Linked DNA regions of Callithrix jacchus. The protein of the gene in region 3 interacts with the protein of the main gene of each other region in a pairwise test. Links are inferred from orthologs where the notes say so. Each region holds a gene or a part of one and is shown on either strand. Other genes may lie near its edges. The genes, in order: MAD2L1BP, ARL6IP1 and INPP5K.

Evidence for each region.
Region 1: the proteins of INPP5K (region 3) and MAD2L1BP interact in binary tests that used the Homo sapiens proteins (3 or more experiments, as listed by UniProt). The link is inferred for Callithrix jacchus from reciprocal best matches to the Homo sapiens genes INPP5K and MAD2L1BP.
Region 2: the proteins of INPP5K (region 3) and ARL6IP1 interact in binary tests that used the Homo sapiens proteins (3 or more experiments, as listed by UniProt). The link is inferred for Callithrix jacchus from reciprocal best matches to the Homo sapiens genes INPP5K and ARL6IP1.

What each region holds. Positions count from the first base shown.
Region 1 is NC_133505.1:52,113,239-52,115,582, reverse strand, and holds the end of MAD2L1BP (MAD2L1-binding protein), read right to left. Parts: intron 1,511-2,344; coding exon 998-1,510; 3' UTR 598-997; downstream 1-597. UniProt on the Homo sapiens protein: May function to silence the spindle checkpoint and allow mitosis to proceed through anaphase by binding MAD2L1 after it has become dissociated from the MAD2L1-CDC20 complex.
Region 2 is NC_133513.1:20,243,693-20,247,937, forward strand, and holds the start of ARL6IP1 (ADP-ribosylation factor-like protein 6-interacting protein 1), read right to left. Parts: upstream 2,931-4,245; 5' UTR 2,850-2,930; coding exon 2,814-2,849; intron 315-2,813; coding exon 181-314; intron 1-180. UniProt on the Homo sapiens protein: Positively regulates SLC1A1/EAAC1-mediated glutamate transport by increasing its affinity for glutamate in a PKC activity-dependent manner.
Region 3 is NC_133506.1:66,715,696-66,720,098, forward strand, and holds the start of INPP5K (inositol polyphosphate 5-phosphatase K), read left to right. Parts: upstream 1-1,473; 5' UTR 1,474-1,681; coding exon 1,682-1,725; intron 1,726-4,403. UniProt on the Homo sapiens protein: Inositol 5-phosphatase which acts on inositol 1,4,5-trisphosphate, inositol 1,3,4,5-tetrakisphosphate, phosphatidylinositol 4,5-bisphosphate and phosphatidylinositol 3,4,5-trisphosphate.

The DNA.
Region 1 (2,344 bases), on a different chromosome or scaffold from region 3:
GCCAAGGAGAAAGACAAAATAGCCTCAATCAAGCCTGACAAGGCTTTTTTTGAGACAGAGTCTCCGTGTCACCAGGCTGGAAAGCAGTGGCATGATCTCGGCTTACTGCAACCTCTACCTCCTGTGTTCAAGCAATTCTTCTGACTCAGCCTCCCAAGTAGCTGAGACTACAGGCGTGTACCACCATGCCCAGCTAATTTTTGTATTTTTAGTAGAGACGGGGTTTCACCGTGTTGGACAGCATGGTCCCGTCTCTTGACTTTGTGATCTGCCACCTCGGCCTCCCAAAGTGCTGGGATTATAGGCATGAGCCACCACGCCCAGCCTTTTTTTTTTTTTTTTTTTTTTTTGAGACAAGTCTTACTCGTCACCTAGGCTGAAGAACATGGGATTACAGGTACCCACCACCATGCCCATCTAACTTTTTTGTAGTTTTAGTAGAGACGGGGTTTCACCATCTTAGCAGGCTGGTCTTGAACTCCTGACCTCGTGATGCACCCGCCTCAGTCTCCCAAAGTGTTGGGATTACAGGTGTGAGCCACTGCACCTGGCCAAGCCTGACAAGTTTCTTCAAGTCAAAACAGTTTCAGGAAAATATAATAAGAATCTATTTATATTTAAGTTCATGAGTCACATCCACATTATGTTCCTGGTAAAAATTCAGAAAGAACACAGCAAAGAGCAGAAAGGGCCACCTCCATAGAGTGTCTGTCTATGGACCCATCTTTGCTTTCCAATCCCTAACAGAAACACTGACCCAGCACCCTCTGGGAAGATCAACCTTTGATTCAAAGAGATGTTGTTCAGCAATGATTACAGTCACAGCTACATGCCATCAGCCCACCAGGAAATCTGAGGAAGGAGGCAGACAACCAAAAGGAGAGTTGCTTCCTCTCTCACCAGGAAGCAACTCTAGCTCCAAACTAGATAGGTGATTCAGTGCCACATGGAGAAAGATAATTCAGCCATTGTGTTTTCAGGATTAAGAAGCGCTCATTCACTCGCGGAAGCCTTTAAGTGTCACTGGTGCCTGGAACCAAATGTAGTCTTCCCAAGCCGTGGTTCGGATGGAAGGTCTGCCACATGACAGGGTCACAGTCAGTTTGTGGCCCCGGCTGGGCACTCGATAGTTGAGCTTGGGTCGAAACCAATCTTCTCCACAGTCGCGGTGTCCCTGTGCCATGATGATGGTGCCCATGAGTGGAGGAGCCTGAAGCTCGCTGAAGGCATCAGCCATGAATATGGCTCTGAAGAGATGGCGCAAACAAGCTGCTGTGCTCAGGCTCTGATCCACGCTGTAGGGGGCCAGCCGAGACAAGTCGAGTTCGTAGAACTCCTTGGGGCTTAGGGCATTGCCCCCAAGGAGAATCAGCACTCGTGGTACTAGTGTCCGTGCAAAGAAGTCCTCTAGATGGCTGAGGACACTCTCCAGTTCTGCCAGGGCTTGTTGGCATTTCCTGCTGCTCACCTCAGTGGTGGCCCGAGGTTTCTTCTTCAGCATCTCCTCTGTCTGTAAGGACAAACAATGGTGGGAGAGAAGGATAAGACAAGGAGAAGCTAATGCCCTTTGAAAAGAACCCTGCTGGGATGTGTACATAGACTTACAGGACTAAAGTTCTAGCTCAATGAACTGCCATAGCTAAAACACTGTGTTTTATCAGAGGGCATTATATTGAAAAGGAAAATATATTATTTGTACAAAACCATAATTCTCCCACATTTAGAGGAGCAAACAGTGTTCTGAAGGTGGAGGGCATCCAGATATAAGCAACTAAACAAGAGATTTGATGGCATGACAAGTGATAACAGGAATGAGGATTATTTGGTCTAATAAACATAACTTTGAACTTGTTCTTCCACTTAAATAGTAAACTGAACACATGCTTATTTGTGCTTCCACCTGAAATACTACAAAATGAGAGGAAAGAAATTAAGAAACAAAGAAAGGAAAGAGCAAGAAAGAGAACGCCAAAGGGCAAAAGAACTGGAGACTATACAACACTGGCCAAAGGCAAACACAAAGTTTTGGAAGATAGCAGATGAAGAGGCCGGGCATGGTAGCTCACACCTGTAATCCAAACACTTTGGAGGCCAAGGTGGGCAGATCACCTGAGGTCAGGAGTTCAAGACCAGCCTGACCAACATGGTGAAACCCTGTCTTAAAAAAAAAAAAAAAAAAAAAAAAAAGCAGATGAGGAGTTAAGAGTTCAAGTGAGCTGAATACCAAGTGCTGACAGAAGGGACTCCCAAGGGATCCAAACTGATTCATAGAGCAGAACCCCATAAAGGTTTAGTAATTGGTGATATAGGCACCACAGAGGCTAGAGTGAATATGGGGAAATGA
Region 2 (4,245 bases), on a different chromosome or scaffold from region 3:
AAGTACTTACTTTATGTAAGTACTACAAATTCTGGAAACTAGAAGTGCCTATAAGAAAACACATTCTTTCTGGGTTATATATTACAAAAGACTTAAGACACACCCACAAATGAAAGCTATATATTAAAAGGCTTTTATTAACAAGAAACACAACCCGTAGTAATCTGATAGTTCACTTACAGAAACACCAAAGAAACCACACCCATGATGGCAGGTGGAAACCAGGCTCTTTCCCATCGAAGGACTCTATCAGCCATCAGCATCACTTCTCCCCATCCTTGCAGCTGTTCTTCCAGACTTGCAGTCTCTGCAGCCTAAATACCGCCAACATTTAAAGCAATTGTTTTACCACTCTCAACATCTTTGTGGTTCACAAAATTCAATTATTTTAAGGCTCCAAATACATAAAAATAACCTCTTAACCAAATTGCCATTTTAAAGCAAGTTGGTATCTGAAAAACTGCAATTGCAAAGATGAAAACCCAATGGTTTTTTTGTTGTTGTTGTTGTTTTCTGGAGTCTTGCTCTGTCACCCAGGCTGGAATGCAGTGGTGAGATGAAGCTTCTGCCTCACAGGTTCAAGCAATTTTCCTACCTCAGCCTCCGGAGTAGTTGGGACTACAGGCACATGCCACCACACCCGGCTAATTTTTTGTACAGATGGGGGTTTCACCATGTCAGCCAGGCTGGTCTTGAACTCTCGATCTCAAGTGATCTACCAGGCCCAGCCTAAATATCCTTTTAATGGTCACTTTTCTGGTCCAAGCACTGGGCTATTCTTTACATACATGATGTAACTTGATCCTTATAGAGAGCCACAAGGTAGGGATAATTAGACTCATTTTACAATTAAAGAAAGTGAGCTCAAAATAGTTTACTTTCTTAAAGTCATACAGGGAATCATGCGGCAGTGCCTAGAGTATTAATAAAAACGAAATTGCTTTAAGTTTGTTTATTTCGGATGGTTAGAATTGATCTGTTTTGTCATCTTATTGATTTAAACCCTTCTAAATCCATTAGGAAAGACTTTCCTGAACAGCATTCAATTTCTAAAATAGCTCTTTGTGTAATGGAATCACTCAGATGTTGGCATTCATTGCACAATTAAGGAAAACTACTTTCACTAAATTAAAGTGGCATATTAGGCTCAATGTATCTCCTCAGTACAGTGTTTCCTACCACTTAGGAGGTCATTCTGGTTATACTTCAAATTTCTCTATGACTCTGACAGCCGAAAGTGGACCTTTAGGATGAGCTAATGTGGCAAAAGCCCTGAAAACTCGTTTTGATACAGGAAGAAAAAATTAGAAGAAACCCAAGTGTTTGTGTTGAGTCTGGATGCAGTGGCTGACACCTATAATCCCAGCACTTTAGGAGGAAGAGACTGGAGGATTGTTTGAGCCTCAAGAGTATGGGACTAGCCTGGCCTGAGACCTTGTCTCTATAAATGTCATTCACTGGGAAGCATGCAAATGACAGAATCTTAACAAAGACACTTCATCTTAACAAAGCCACTCTATCTGTGCCACGCTGACCACTCTTTTGATCTCAATATTTTTGACTTTATTTCCATGCTTAATACTAATGAAAGAAGAGGCTACCTCCCAGCAGTGGGAACTCTGCTGAGCATTTTATATTTATACTTCAATTAATCTTCCCAACAACCCTAAAAAAGGTGCTATTACTATCCCCATTTTAGAGGAGGAAACAGATAAACAGAGGTTAACAGACTTGCATCCAGGAAACCCAAGACCAAAGGCTTTGCTTTCCTTATTGTTATACTGCTTTGCTGCAAAGCAAGAGCCCTAGCCCAGGATTTGTCATTTCAACAGGGCATGAGCAACTTCTTTGTGCTTCAATTAATCCTCTTAAAAGGAACCATGCTGGGAACTATGTTAGAAGGCGTGTGTTTAAAGGAACAAACCAAGCATTTCTAAAAGCAAATATGAAGTGAAAATAATGCACAATCAAAACTGCCCTGAAGTCACGTCATTGGCCAGCACCTGGGCTCTTGGAAGTTCAAAAGCCCAAAATTAAGTTCTTTGGTTCCGTTTTTCATTGCTGGTGTGTGACCTGCAGTCACAAGGAAGGGTAACCGAGAATATGTAAGGGTATCTTTTTTCTGCCTACATGGTGCACTTAAATTCGTAACAAATGAAATTTACCCGCCTATGATACCTAACATCACTGCAGTTCCTTCGGATCCCCGCTTATTACTCTCAAGTTGTTTCCAGTCGTCCTGTGACCCCACCCCCGCCAGACTTCCAAATTCCAGACAAACGCCAAGACATGCCATTGTCTGTTCAGCTGTACCCCACTCTCTCAGTTCCCCACGGTGAGCTCGCAGCCTCCCTGCGGTTTTAAGTTGTAGCAGCTCTAACAGAAATTCTCAGCAGTAGCCTTTTGACCTTCTATCCTTCCAAGCTTTAGGGGGAAAAGAAAGCAAGCACAGCCAGGTTAAGATCAAAGACGGGGAAAGCCGAATACGGCTGGGGCCTGGGCCCCGAAAGCGCTGGAGAGGCCCCAAGAGGCCTTCTGCCCCCTGCGGCACCCCAGGCTAGTGTCGCAGCCCCAGGCCTCCCACTTCCTCCTCGACCCCTATTGGCGGTTAGGAATCACCCGCCCTCCTCGCCCCGTCGAGCACCGTCCCCAGGAAAGGTCAGGGATCGACACCCAGGGCCAGGCATCGTCGCCTGCGCCAGGAGAGAAGGGACGGGCCCGCGGCGGGTGACAGGGAAGAGGCCGCGGCGTTTGAGCCCACGGACGTCCGGCGGCCTCGCTTGGCTCCCGGGGAACAGGCAGCCAGGACTCACCAGCAGGTTGGAGCTGCGATTATCTCCCTCCGCCATCGTCTCTGAGATGCTGTCTCTTAAGCTCAGGCCACCTTCCAGCGAAACCTCCTACCAGGACTCGCACGGCGACCGCAGCGCACGGGAACGCCCCGCAGACCGCTTATATGGGTTGTCTGCCCTTCCCGACAGCCCCCGCGATACTCGCTCCTCATTGGACAGGCTGAGCTCACGCCTCCGGGAAGCCGGACCAACCGAAGTTCAGCGCATGGCTTGAAATCGAGGTCAAAGGAGACAGAGGCGGTGTCGGGCCGAGGGGAGGGGACACGGAGTGGCCAATCAGCGTTCAGAGACTGCGCGACATCCCACCCAGGTCTGTCGGTAGCGGTTCAACGGCCGCCGCAGGGGGCGCTGTCCCGCAATGGTTCCCCAGTTCCGGCCTCCGCGGCCGCTTTCTAACCCTCTTTGTCTGGCTCTCGCAGCCCAGGAGCCTCTCCGAAAAAAGAGCTCCTCGGAGAGATACCGCGCCGCCTGAAGCGGAGGACGCCGGGCCTGCGACACTTAACCTATTCGTGGCCCCTAGGCGACTGGGATCCACTCCCTCTACGGTCCGGTGCCTTCGTCAGGCACCTGAGCCGTTTAGCCCCGATTTGCGACTCGCGAGGTTTTTTTTTTTTTTTTTTTGAGACGCAGTTCCGCTCTTGTTACCCAGGCTGGAGTGCAATGGCGCGATTTCGGCTCACCACAACCTCCGCCTCCTGGGTTCAGGCAATTCTCCTGCCTCAGCCTCCTGAGTAGCTGGGATTACAGGCACGCACCACCATGCCCAGCTAATTTTTTGTATTTTTAGTAGAGACGGGGTTTCACCAAGTTGACCAGGGTGGTCTCGATCTCTTGACCTTGTGATCTACCCGCCTCGGCCTCCCAAAGTGCTGGGATTACAGGCTTGAGCCACCGCGCCCAGCCCTGCGAGGTTTTGAGGACAAATGAAAAGAGCTCTTTGTGTAGATTTTGCTGCAATGTTTCTCTTCTACCCAGTAGAAATAAGGCCTTAGTGGAAAAACCCAGGCCTGGTTTGAGAACGTGTGAAAAATGCACCGCCCTCTAAGTGGCTTATTATACGTGGGTGCTTAAGTTACTTAAACTACGCGCTCCCTTTCCAAAAGGATTTTTTGTTTTTTGAGACGGGGGAATCTCGCTCCATTGCCCAGGCTGGGGTACATTAGCGCGATCTCTGCTCACTGTAGCCTCCATCTCCCGGGTTCAAGTGATGCTCACGCCTCAGCCTCCGGAGTAGCGGGAATTACAGGCGCCTGCCTCCATGCCCGGCCAATTTTTGTATTTTAGTAGAGACGGGGTTTCACCATGTTGGCCAGGCTGGTCTCAAATTCCTGACCTCAAGAGATCCACCCGCCTTGGCCTCTCAAAGTGGTGGGATTACAGGCGTGAGCTGCCG
Region 3 (4,403 bases):
CAGGAGATCACCATCCTGACCAACATGGTGAAACCCCATCTCTACTAAAATACAAAAAATTAGCCGGGCGTGGTGTCGAGCCCCTGTAGTCCCAGCTACTCCAGAGGCTGGTGCAGGGGAATTGCTTGAACCCGGGAGGTGGAGGTTGCCGTGAGCAGAGATTACGCCATTGCACTTCAGCCTGGGTGACAGCGAGATTCTGTCTCAAAAAAATAAAGTAGTTCTTGGCCGATCCCGGTAGCTCATGCCTGTAATCCCAGCACTTTGAGAAGCTGGATCACCTGAGGTCAGGAGTTTGAGACCAGCCTGGCCAACATGGTGAAACTGTGTCTCTACTAAAAATACAAAAAGATTAGCTGGGCCTGGTAGCGGGCTCCCATGCTGAGGCAGGAGAATTGCTTGAACCCCGGAGGTGGAGGTTGCAGTGAGCTGAGATTGCACCACTGCACTCCAGCCTGGGCAACAGAGCCACACTCCATCTCAAAAAAAAAAAAATAGTTCTTAACCTGGCTCCCTGGCGCGTGAACCTCAGGAAGCTTGTTTGTAAAACTGCAATTTTTTTGAGGAAAGTGCTGTCAAAGTATTCCCATAAATAACCCCACCACCCAGGAAAACTGATAAAGAACAATGACTTAAAGGAAATCACAGTGAATCTTTAGCAAAGTAACCATTTCACGTTTGGTCTTGAATTCAGACTACATAGAAGCCGTCTGGCCTTGAAAACGGGCCATATGGAAGCAGTGAGTTATTTTGAGGGGGGCGGGGCGACGGAGTCGCGCTCTGTCGCCCAGGCTGGGAGTACCGCGGCGCGATCTCGGCTCTTTGCAACCTCCGCCTCCCGGGTTCAAGCGATTCTCTGGCCTTAGCCTCCGGAGTAGCTGGGACTACAGGCGCGTGCCACCCCGCCTGGCCTTCTCGTTTATTGATGACTAAACTTCTAGGAGTCTAGGAATCCCCAAACGTCCCACATGCAATAGGCAACCCCATCAGTTAGTAGGGCAAAAGCCGCCTGCAAGTGGAGGTGGAGAATGGAGACGCTCCAGGAGCGGCATGGGCGCCACGGGAGTGGGAGATTACTCGCAGCTGGGGAGGCCGGGTTCCAGGCAGGACGGTGGTTAGGCTGCGTGTCCCCACCCCCGGCCCTCGTTTGCCCACTGGGTCTCTGGACGGCCGTGAGCCGGGGCGAAGACAGCACAAGTACCGGACTCTCGGATCCCTCACGAGCGGGTCAGAGGCCGCGGCGGCGGAGCGACAACTTCCGCCGGAAGACGGCCCCTGGCGCGGGGCACGCTGGGAGTCGCGAGGCGGGCGGCGGGCGGCGGGCGGTGGGCGGTGGGCTGGGCGGGGTCCAGTGGAGGCCGCGCATCCGGGCCGGCTGCGGCTGTGTAGCATTGTGCGCTGATGACGGGCCAGACACGCCTCCCTGACGTCACCGAAGCCGTCCTTAGCTCAGCCTCTCGCAGCTTCGCGCTTGTGGAAGAGTCCCGCCTCCTCCCGCGAGCCGCACCACCGAGAGCCCGCGGTGCGCCCGTGGCCCGTCTCTGACTGAAGCCGGGGCGGGCGGTCGGAGTCCGGAAGAAAAACAGTCAACGACAGCGGGGCGCGTGAGACCGGCCGGCCGCGGGGCTGCTCTGGCCGCCAGACGCGAGCTGCCGGACCACCGCGCGGGACGACGGCGGCCATGAGCTCTCGGAAGCCGAGCGGGCCGAAAGGCAGGAGGCTGGGGTGAGGAGGGGCTGGAAGCGGGATGGCCTGCTGGGGCGGATGGCGGCCGCCGACCCCCTCAGGCTGCGGACTGCGGGCTGCTGGTGGGCGCAGCCTTGGAGGCAAGGCTGCAGACTTCCATGACTGCCTTGGGTTCAGGGACGCCCTCACATTCTCCCAGGCCTGTGCCGGGTGGGCTGTGTTGGGCCCGAGCCTCGCGCGCCCCCTAAGCCGAGGCCGCCAAGCTCGTTCCTACTGGGGCGCGATCGGGTGTCGCGGTTGCTTTCTGGAGAGGACCGCCGTGTTGGGTTTGTGAGGTTAGAGACACAAGGCCGTCACCCTTCAGCTCTAGGTTAGGAATCTCGTTCCTACTTTTCTTTTTTTTTTTTTTGAGATGGAGGTTTGCCCTGTCGCCCAGGCTGGAATGCAGTGGCGCGATTTTGGCTCACCGCAACCTCCGCTTCCCGGGTTCGAGCGATTCTCCTTCCTCAGCCTCCCTAGTAGCTGGATTACAGGCGCGCACCACCACACCGGCCTAATTTTGTGTTTTTGGTAGAGATAGGGTTTCTCCACGTTGGTCGGGCTGGTCTCGAACTCCGGACCTCAAATGATCCGCCTGCCTTAGCCCCCCAAAGTGCTGGGATTACAGGCGTGAGCCACCACGCCCGGCGTTCCTACTTTTCATCAGCACATACATCATGAGTTCTGCCTGATTCCACGGTGACCCCTGGAAATCCACAATCAGATTGAGATAAGATCCTTTAGTGAAGTGACTTAGCCTGGTCTCTTGCCAGCTCTTTCACGGGGAACAGCGCTAATCGCCTACTTAGTCTAAGTCATGATGCACGGATTTGCTGCTAATCGTCGGATCTGAGAGTGGGAACAAGAAATCTGGACTTGTGCTCTCCATCCACTTAGAGCAAGTCTGGGAAAATAAGTCTGAGCAAAAGGTCTTTGTTCCTTAAGCCTCTGTCGGACAGCAGGGGGAGATCGTAGACAAATGAAGCACTTAATCTCAGGCCGAGTGCCTGGGAAGGTGGTTTCTGTATGGTGTTGTTTATGCTAATAGGGAGGGACAGGAAATTGTTTTAAACTGGCCAAGAATTTCTTGAAGTGCTTTGGAGAACGTCGACCTCTAAGAGCAGGGTCTGTTGGAGAAGAGATGTTTTGGCCTCATTTGCCCTTTTCTCCCAGTCCCATTACACACCCACTCCCCCACTTCCCCCGCATTGGAATCTCCAACTGCTGCAGGTCCTCCTCCTTACTGTGCGCCTAGCACTCAGGCCAGCTGTTGCTGGTCTCTGCAGGGGCTGTAGCTCCTGTCTGCTCTGTGCTCTGCACAGTCTGACACTGCTTGTAAGGCTGCTGTCAGTATTCCACTAAAGACATCTGTTGGCCTCCTCTGGTCTCTCCTTCCTCTGAGCCTCTGAGTGGGTCCAGTGTCATTGAGGCCCCCGATCACCTAGGAAGTCTCTTGCCTCCCTAAGACTTGTATGCTGAGGTTAAAATTATCCAAGTAAAGACTTCCCAAGAGAGAGTACTCTTTTTTTTCTTTTTTCATGCAATACTACACAGCCATAGAGTATAGACTCTTAAGACATATGCAGAGAAACCTGTTACTTAGAAACTTCTCCTTGGCCAGGCGTGATGGCTCAGGCCTGTAATCCCAGCACTTTGGGGGGCTGAGGTGGGCAGATCACCTGAAGTCAGGAGTTTGAGACCAGCCTGGCCAACATGGTGAAACCCCATCTCTACTAAAAATACAAAATGAGCCAAGTGTGGTGGCACATGCCTGTAATCCCAGCTCCTTGGGAGGCTGAGGCAGGAGAATCGCTGGAACCCAGGAGGTGGAGGCTGCAGTGAGCCCAGATCATGCCACTGAACTCCAGCCTGGGCAACAGAATGAGACTTCATCTCAAAAAAAAAAAAAAAGAAGAAGCTTTTCCTTAGGCTCACTGAAGTACTTGGCAAAATTGATTTGCTCCAGGGATTTGCTAGGGAGGAGAGAGGAAGGCAATATGGTGTTGTTATCTCTTTCATGTTTTAAATTCATCTGCCCTTGTGGTGCTGAGGCCTAGCACAAGGTAAAATCTGAGTCCCCAGGATCTTCCTGGTGGTCTTAGGAACACTTGGGGTGAAAAGTAGGGTGGTAAGTTGCTGACTGAGCCATAGATGATCAAAGTTGTGTGTGGGTAGCTGGAGGAGCTGATGGAGTTAATCCATTCAGCCCCCTGACCTTCCCTTGCCTGACCCGGAAGTCTTGGGCTCCCTTCGGCACCTCTGCTATGTCAGCAGCACCAGGGCTGCCAGCTGTTTACGGCTGTGCGCTTGCCTGGAGGAGCCAGTCTGCGGTGCGGTTTCCTGCTTCAGTGGACAAAGGTGAGGACGGATAGCCCATCGTTCAGTATCCCCATTCCATCCACCAATGCAGAAATCCGCATTTTCCATCACGAGTACAGGGGATTATGGTGACCTGAGCAGGCCTAGACCCCATTTGTGCACTATCTTTGTTTGTTTTTTTGAGACAGTCTCGCTCTGTTGCCTAGGCTGGAGTGCAGTGGCATGATCTCAGCTCACTGCAACCTCTGCCTCCCAGTTTCAAGCAATTCTCCTGCCTCAATCTCCCCTGAGTAGCTGGGATTACAGGAGCCCGCCACCATACCCAACTAATTTTTGTATTTTTAGTAGAGACGGGGTTT